Linked DNA regions of Arabidopsis thaliana. The protein of the gene in region 1 interacts with the protein of each later gene in a pairwise test. Each region holds a gene or a part of one and is shown in the gene's direction. Other genes may lie near its edges.

The links.
Region 2: the proteins of AFP3 (region 1) and AT1G21810 interact in a two-hybrid assay, tested with the Arabidopsis thaliana proteins (one large-scale study listed by BioGRID).

What each region holds. Positions count from the first base shown.
Region 1 is NC_003074.8:11,381,692-11,386,134, reverse strand, and holds AFP3 (ABI five binding protein 3), read left to right. Parts: upstream 1-1,989; 5' UTR 1,990-2,477; coding exon 2,478-2,868; intron 2,869-3,414; coding exon 3,415-3,719; 3' UTR 3,720-3,921; downstream 3,922-4,443. UniProt on the Arabidopsis thaliana protein: Acts as a negative regulator of abscisic acid (ABA) response and stress responses.
Region 2 is NC_003070.9:7,655,802-7,661,016, reverse strand, and holds AT1G21810 (filament-like protein (DUF869)), read left to right. Parts: upstream 1-1,849; 5' UTR 1,850-2,379; coding exon 2,380-2,476; exon of another isoform or gene 2,477-2,560; coding exon 2,561-3,966; intron 3,967-4,052; coding exon 4,053-4,439; 3' UTR 4,440-4,698; downstream 4,699-5,215. UniProt on the Arabidopsis thaliana protein: Ensures, when in complex with FPP3/VETH1 and COG2, the correct secondary cell wall (SCW) deposition pattern by recruiting exocyst components to cortical microtubules in xylem cells during secondary cell wall deposition by recruiting EXO70A1.

The sequences.
Region 1 (4,443 bases):
TCGATTCTCTCCATATGTAGAATTGCTTACTTTTATTTTTTTGACTATAAGTATAGACATGCTACTTAAGATCTATTTAAAAACCCGGAAGATATCAAATATATAGGATATAGGATACCCTCTCTCTAGGAATTAATCATGAACCTTTCCATAGGTTCAGAGATTTACCAGAAATTATAAAAAAAAATCAAAGTTTGAACTAACACTTATAAAATATATATTTCTAACCCGAGAAAAAGAGACATTGTCTAAACATGTAAATTTTATTAACAAATAGACGGATAAAGCTAGCAAAGAATTAGAGTGTGACAAAAAAATATTGAAAATATGATTGCTACTAGATATATTAATACTTTATAAAAACTTGTTATAAAAAAATATCCAAAACTATTTGACTTCCTATGATATTAGTTCCAAATAATTTAAATTTTAGATATTTAGATATTTGGTTGTCTGTATAGATATCTTCTTTTTCTGAACTGCAATGGATATATGCATTTATAAATATGATGACCAGAAACTTTTAAATTTGGATAATTGTTACCAATTTGGAAAGACATATCATAAAACAATTTACTTACAATAATAATAATAATAATAATAATCTTGTGGATAAATTATCAAAAATATTTTGCTCTATTTGCTATTTATTTCATGAACTCTTATATTCACTTCCTTTAGTTTTAACCAATCATTATGCCATGGCATATAATAATTTAATATAAATTAAAAGTTAGACAAACAAATAAAATAAATAAATTAAGAATTAATTGTAAAATCTGAATCATATGCCCTTTTTTATAAACTCATAACAACATATAATTTCATTAATTCTAAAATTTAAACTTTAACCACTTTTTATAAAGAGTAAATTTGGAAAAATGCCCTATTTTTGAGTTTTCATTTGAAAAATACCCTATTCTTTCTTCCTTTTTAAACAATTAATTTTTAATATATAAAAATACTAAAATAGCCTCATTAAAATTTAAGAATAACTTTTTAAAAAAATAAACTTAAAACAAAAAAAATTCATAAACTAAAATTTGATGTAACTAATAATTTTAAAGATAATTATTATCTAAGCTGATATATGATTTTATTTAATTTGTAAAAACTATAACGCAAACCACTCTTCTATAAACGTATATAAAATTTTTAGATATTTATATTTATAAATATGACTGCAGAAGTTTTAAGTTTATGATAGTTTTTAAAAAGCAATTATGATAGTTAGTAACAATTTAGAAACACGTATAATTTAATTTCTTTGTTTATTTTTCAAAAATATACAAAAAATTTATGTCAGCGATTTTATTTTATTTTGTATGGTATATGACTAATTTAAAAGTGGTACTAATTAGTATTATAAAAAATTATTAAAAAGTATTTTTAACCTTACGACTCTATTTTTTTACAAGTTACAAATGTTTCATAAAATTTTATTGTTAAAACACTATGATCTAAGATATTGAAACCCACGGTCAAAGTATTGCTAACATGGTCATTACATTGAAAAAGAAAATTAATTGTCTTTACTCATGTTTATTCTATACAAATAAAAATATTAACCAACCATCGCACTAACAAAATAGAAATCTTATTCTAATCACTTAATTGTTGACAATTAAATCATTGAAAAATACACTTAAATGTCAAATATTCGTTTTGCATACTTTTCAATTTAAATACATTTAAAGTTCGACAAGTTGCGTTTACTATCATAGAAAACTAAATCTCCTACCAAAGCGAAATGAAACTACTAAAGCGACAGGCAGGTTACATAACCTAACAAATCTCCACGTGTCAATTACCAAGAGAAAAAAAGAGAAGATAAGCGGAACACGTGGTAGCACAAAAAAGATAATGTGATTTAAATTAAAAAACAAAAACAAAGACACGTGACGACCTGACGCTGCAACATCCCACCTTACAACGTAATAACCACTGAACATAAGACACGTGTACGATCTTGTCTTTGTTTTCTCGATGAAAACCACGTGGGTGCTCAAAGTCCTTGGGTCAGAGTCTTCCATGATTCCACGTGTCGTTAATGCACCAAACAAGGGTACTTTCGGTATTTTGGCTTCCGCAAATTAGACAAAACAGCTTTTTGTTTGATTGATTTTTCTCTTCTCTTTTTCCATCTAAATTCTCTTTGGGCTCTTAATTTCTTTTTGAGTGTTCGTTCGAGATTTGTCGGAGATTTTTTCGGTAAATGTTGAAATTTTGTGGGATTTTTTTTTATTTCTTTATTAAACTTTTTTTTATTGAATTTATAAAAAGGGAAGGTCGTCATTAATCGAAGAAATGGAATCTTCCAAAATTTGATATTTTGCTGTTTTCTTGGGATTTGAATTGCTCTTTATCATCAAGAATCTGTTAAAATTTCTAATCTAAAATCTAAGTTGAGAAAAAGAGAGATCTCTAATTTAACCGGAATTAATATTCTCCGACCGAAGTTATTATGTTGCAGGCTCATGTCGAAGAAACAGAGATTGTCTGAAGAAGATGGAGAGGTAGAGATTGAGTTAGACTTAGGTCTATCTCTAAATGGAAGATTTGGTGTTGACCCACTTGCGAAAACAAGGCTTATGAGGTCTACGTCGGTTCTTGATTTGGTGGTCAACGATAGGTCAGGGCTGAGTAGGACTTGTTCGTTACCCGTGGAGACGGAGGAAGAGTGGAGGAAGAGGAAGGAGTTGCAGAGTTTGAGGAGGCTTGAGGCTAAGAGAAAGAGATCAGAGAAGCAGAGGAAACATAAAGCTTGTGGTGGTGAAGAGAAGGTTGTGGAAGAAGGATCTATTGGTTCTTCTGGTAGTGGTTCCTCTGGTTTGTCTGAAGTTGATACTCTTCTTCCTCCTGTTCAAGGTACATTACCATAGTTTTTGTGATCTTTCATGAGTTTGTTGAATTTGGATTAAGAGATGATTTTTTTTTTTTAAATCTTCAAGATTGAGTTTTGCTTGTTTAGATCTTTGATTATTGATTAGGGTACACGACATTGAATCTTCTTTTGGATGTAGTGATATCAACATATCATTTTACGATTATTAGATTCCCTTAGGATGGATTCATTGTGTGGCATTGTGATTGGTTTGTTGTGTTGTTAGCGTTTTTGAGTCTTTGGCTTTTCGTTTTATTTCGTGTCTTTCACTAGGTATCTTTTAGGTGTCTTAGAGTTCGATTTTTGGCCATTTTAGGTATTGTTAGTGGAAAGAAACAAAGTTTGGTGCGTTGTAGTTACTACATTGTTTGTGTTTCCATTCCAAGGGAAAAAGTATGTTCAAAAATGCACAATGTATCAAGGGATTATCGATAATATTCGAAAGCAAACATTGTATATCTTCTAGGCTTTGCAAAGTTTTTGTTGTCTTTTGTTTAGTGTTTTACTGAAATACTTACTTGTGTTTGAAGCAACAACGAACAAGTCCGTGGAAACAAGCCCTTCAAGTGCCCAATCTCAGCCCGAGAATTTGGGCAAAGAAGCGAGCCAAAACATTATAGAGGACATGCCATTCGTGTCAACAACAGGCGATGGACCGAACGGGAAAAAGATTAATGGGTTTCTGTATCGGTACCGCAAAGGTGAGGAGGTGAGGATTGTCTGTGTGTGTCATGGAAGCTTCCTCTCACCGGCAGAATTCGTTAAGCATGCTGGTGGTGGTGACGTTGCACATCCCTTAAAGCACATCGTTGTAAATCCATCTCCCTTCTTGTGACCCTTTGGGTCTCTTTTGAGGGGTTTGTTGTATCGGAACCATGTTACAAATCCTCATTATCTCCGAGGTGTATAAACATAAATTTATCGAACTCGCAATTTTCAGATTTTGTACTTAAAAGAATGGTTTCATTCGTTGAGATTAATTTTAGACCTTTTTCTTGTACAATGTTTAGTCTTTGAGATAATATACCGGCTTGTCTAATTTAAGTGTGATACATATTAAAGATTGTCACGCTAAGGTTAAATTATTTAAAGAGGATCGTCTTCGTTTCTTATATGTTTTCTATTTTCTGTTGGTGGTGATAACTGTTTTTCTTACATCAACGACGAAGATTTGCCAATACTTGGACACCCTTCAACAGAGCCGGCCCAAGATAAATTCTTCCCTAAAACAAAATTTATTTTTGGCCCATCATTAAATATAATCTACTCTATTATTTGAAACGTACATTTAATGAGGTGGGCATTTCGCAGAAATAACAAGTTTGTCATTGAGTTAAAATTTTTCTATCATGAAAAACCCGTTTAAAAAGACGCGGATCCTTTTGACCCGAATTTTAAAATAACGGGTCATAACTTCTAATCTTAGCCATTCAATTGATTTTTTTTTAGCCGTTGATTTTCTCCAGTAAAGTTTTGAAACCCGACCCGGATGATGAACCGGACTACCTTCTTGGTCACCGGGTCATCGGGTCAACCGGGTTGGACCACGGGTCAATTAG
Region 2 (5,215 bases), on another chromosome or scaffold:
ATAATTAAAGATAGAAGAAAACTAGAAAAGTGAGTTGCTTTAATATATTTTGCATGGGATTCTTGAAATTTTTTCTATGACTTTTAGTGCTCACCTTAATTTCCTTTTTATTATTTCCTAAAGAAAAAAAGAGAGTAGTACAAGTTATAATGCAAGAAGAAGAGTCCATGTTAGGTTGTTCACAATAGTGGGAAACATTTGAGCATAAAAAATGGACCCCAAAGCATTGCCCCATTCACATTGTCTTATAGTTGTCTCTTTTCTATACATTGTTTATTTCCAAATCCCAAATCTAAAGATTTTTGTGATACATTCATATTAGAAATTATCGAGATAGGTATAGCACATCCGTTTATGGTGGAGAGTTGTTCATATCATATGTATGTAAGTTTTACCAAGTTCATTTTGATTCGAACGAAATTGGTTAAAATGTTGAAATCAATAGTTGATTCATTTGCAACTGATTTTGATATTTGAACTTTATTGTGTTTGAGGTGACAACTCAAAGAAAAAAGTGGCTTTAGTTTGTCTAAGTTCAATCAAAAGTAGGAAAGCAATGTGACTCCTCCAAAGAAAATTATATAAGAATTTATCAATGTGGTAAGACTGATGCGAAGGAAAACCTAATTTTTAGGTTAATTAAAGGACGAGTAGACATTTGTTTGTTTTGTGACTTTTGTCTACTTTATTTTGGAAACTTTTTAAAGCATTCTTTTGAAAAATCGAAACTTAACCAGCTGTTTTAAAAGTAATTTTTAGCTCTCGAAACAAGTTTAAACGAAGTTGGATAGTCAAGAATCTCAAAGAGAAATAGTACGTAATTGAATGTTTTGTCGAGTAGTTTTGTTGATTATGGTAATCTAAGATTATTTGCCACCGTTTGACAAATTTTCTTTGACCTTTGATATCAATAGGTGAGTGAATTTTTTTTTAATAGTTGTTTTGCATGAATTTCGTAATTGTTTTGTTTCTTTTGTCGAGAGCGTTGGCTGTAGGGTTAAACGGGACCATTTTAATAGATGATCGTATTCAAGATTAGGAGGAGGACCACCTACCTATTTTCTTTTACCTAACCTAAAAGATTTTGAAAAATTAAATGAAAATTTTCATAAAATAGTCCCATTTATATTGATCCAGAAAATCTTAAATTTAAGTATCACAAAAAAAATATAGCACCAAGACAAAGAATCCTTGATCAGGACGTAAGCCCCATTGGTCTGCGTATATATAGACACTATAGCATATACGAAAATGCGAATGGTATAAAACGACATGGGGATTATATTTAAAACATTATAGTATATATATGTACAAAATATGAGATTTTACGACAATAATTTGATATTAAATGATAATGTATGGTCTATATGTATAAACGTAGGTCGTGATTCATGAGTGACAACAACATGTGAGATTCAAATTTCAAAGTCTTGAACTAAAGAAAATGACGTATACTTGGAACTATTATCAACTTACAACATTTCCAAAAGTTTATTAGACGATACTTAATTCATTACAGTTTGTATCAATATTTATCCACTTAGCGCTGCTTTGTTACTTACATAGCAACAACACCCATCACAATATATTGCATTTTAATGGTAATTATTTGTAAAAATTTAATATTATTGATCATAGTTCGGCTTTCATTTTGTATTTGTATTTTTCTTTTTTCAGATAAATAAATATGTTAATGTGAAATATGAATAAAATGTGCAATATATCTCATTGGGCTTGAAATATCTAAACTAATGGGCTTGGACCAAATAATATGTGGTAGATATCTTACAGCAGCCCACTTATTTCATGGAACTAGAAAAAGTTTTTCAAATTTGTATTCTTCCATTAAATGCTGAAGAAAAAGTTAGATATCTTCTCCCTCTCTTCCTCTTTTGAAAATTGAAAAAAAAAGACATTTCAAAACTGTAAAGAATTACAACCACAAAAAGAAAGAAATTCTCGCTTTTTTGGCCATGTTATTTATTCTTGGTTTTGAAGAATCATATCATATTGCAACTGTTTTCTAGTCTGGTAATCTTGTTTTCTCCTCAACTCTTTTTTCTAATGTTCTGTAACAAATTGTTCATTACACGAAACGAAACAGAAAGATGTTGTTGTAGTTCTTTTTTAATGACATGTTATGAAGTGATTGCTAAAATCATTACCAGTTTTGTGTTCTTCTGGGAAATGTTGTGGTCCAGTCCATTATATAGTTAAGTACTTAAGATTTGTTGTCAGAGTGTCCTGAAAGCAAAATCTGGGAAAGCTGATAAGCCAAGTTACCTCTTTTTTTTTATACATATGTTTTCAAAAGTTCCTAAAAAATTGTTTGGTTTTGTTTTATTTTTCTCTTCTTAAGGTACTTAAGTTTGTGATTTGATGATGACTGGTACTACTTTGATATTGGAACCAGTTATGGATTCCAAAGATGAGCTAGTGAAACAACATGCCAAAGTTGCAGAAGATGCTGTTGCTGGTAATTAGTCACTCCTTTTCTGATCCTGCTTCTGGAGTTAGCATTTTATAGTGAAAGCATTTTCTCTTGTGGTTTTTTTTCAAGGGTGGGAGAAAGCTGAGAATGAAGTGGTTGAGCTGAAGCAAAAGCTCGAGGATGCGGCTGATAAGAACATTGTCTTGGAAGATAGGGTAAGTCATCTTGATGGGGCGCTTAAGGAGTGTGTGAGACAACTAAGGCAGTTTAGAGATGAACAAGAGAAGAATATTCAAGCAGCTGTGACTGAGAGCACCAAGGAGTTGCATTCTGCTAACACTGGTCTAGAGAAGCGAGTTCTTGAGCTCCAGAAAGAAGCAGAAGCTGCTAAATCTGAAAACATGATGCTGAGACGCGAGTTTCTTACACAGCGTGAAGACCTTGAGATTGTGATGATTGAGAGGGACTTGAGCACTCAAGCAGCAGAAACTGCTAGTAAGCAGCATTTAGACATCATAAAGAAGTTGGCGAAACTCGAAGCTGAGTGCAGGAAGCTTAGGATTTTGGCTAAAACATCATCATCGCTATCATCTAATCAATCTGTGGATAGTCATTCAGATGGAGGAAGGGAGAGAGTTGAGGGGAGTTGCTCTGATTCATGGGCATCATCAGCATTTATTTCTGAGTTAGATCAAATCAAGAATGAAAAAGGCGGCAATAGAAGTCTTCAGGGCACTACTTCATCAACTGAAATTGATCTCATGGATGATTTCCTTGAGATGGAACGTCTTGTGGCTCTTCCTACTGAGACACAGGCTAAAAACTCCAAGGATGGATATGAATTGAGCTTAATGGAGAAGTTGGAGAAGATACAAGCAGAAAAGGATGATCTTGAAAGAGAAGTTAAATGTTGTAGAGAAGCGGAAAAGAGATTGAGCTTAGAGATTGAAGCAGTTGTTGGTGACAAAATGGAGTTGGAAGATATGTTAAAGAGGGTGGAAGCTGAGAAAGCTGAGCTAAAGACATCTTTTGACGTGCTCAAAGATAAATATCAAGAGTCAAGAGTTTGTTTTCAAGAAGTTGACACAAAGTTGGAGAAGCTACAAGCAGAAAAGGATGAGCTTGACAGTGAAGTTATTTGTTGTAAAGAAGCAGAGAAGAGATTCAGCTTAGAACTCGAAGCTGTAGTTGGTGACAAAATTGAGATGGAAGATGAGTTGGAGAAGATGGAAGCTGAGAAAGCTGAGCTAAAGATATCTTTTGACGTAATTAAAGATCAATATCAAGAATCTAGAGTTTGTTTTCAAGAAGTTGAGATGAAGTTGGAAGCGATGAAAAGGGAGCTTAAACTAGCTAATGAATCGAAAACACAAGCCGAATCTCGGGTGACCAGAATGGAAGCAGAGGTGAGAAAGGAGAGGATTGTCTCTGATGGGCTAAAGGAAAAGTGTGAGACATTTGAAGAAGAGCTTAGAAGAGAGATAGAAGAGAAGACAATGATCAAGAGAGAAAAAGTGGAACCAAAGATCAAACAGGTATAGCTTTTTATTTTTCTGATCACCAATTAGTCTTTTTTTCTTTTTCTTAATCCTTGTTTCACTAAAAGCTGATTCTATTGCAGGAAGACATAGCAACAGCTGCAGGAAAATTTGCAGATTGTCAGAAAACAATAGCATCACTTGGGAAACAGCTACAATCTCTTGCAACACTAGAAGAATTCTTGATCGATACAGCTAGCATTCCAGGTTCTGCAAGGTCAGTTCACAACAAGGAAGCTTTGTTAGGAAAAGATCCTCATGAGTGCATCAAAACAATCAATGGAAGATCACTTGAGTTTCTTGCAATCCAGAACAGCAATAACAAGACCTCACCTCCTTGTTCATCTTCTTCGGACTCAACAACAGTGTCATTAATTATGTCATCAAACCGAGGGAGTTCTGAGAAGAATCGCAACGGATTTGCCACGGTTTTCACTCGAAGTAGAAACTCAGTAAATTTGGGGATTTAGGAGAAGCAATAGGTTCGTTCTTGGAGTATAGCTAGAATCAATCTGTTGTTAAGCTGGATTTCTTACCATAATTTTCAGATTCTGACTTGTTAGTAGCAAAAAGATCACCCTTGTTTCTTTTGCTACATAGTGTAATCTTCTTAACGTTTATGTCTTGTGAGATTCATCTTTGTTATTTCACTGTCACCAGTTTGATGGTCTCATATGATGCATTGTCACCAAGTAAAATATTGATTTTTGTTTTGTTTGGTTAGATAAAGACAAAGAAAACTGCAATCTGTGGTGCTGCTGAACTGCTGATGTTGAATCTATTCATTGGTCGTGTCTAAAATACAATATTTTGGATTAGATTCTAAACTGGTACATGCAACAGAACAAGCACCTGAGGTTCTATGGTGTAGTGGTTAGCACTCTGGACTTTGAATCCAGCGACCTGGGTTCGACTCCCGGTAGGACCTCTCATGCTCTTGCATTTTTTTTTCTTCCAAACATTGGTGGAAACTGAACCGGACCAAACTTCATCAACTCAACACTAAACAAACTTTCCTAATAGATTGAAAAGATTATACCAAAATTTAACTGAATAAACCAAAGTTCATTAAGATTAACTTTTATATAATGATTATGATATATAAATCACAACCAAAGATCAAACCAAAATTCTAATTTGGTTCCGTTTCCCCAAACACAAGAAGAAAAAAAGTCTGTTGACTGTAATCATCAAGAAATAACATTTACATGTAGTTTTCCTATAGAGAGATACATACAAATCTGAA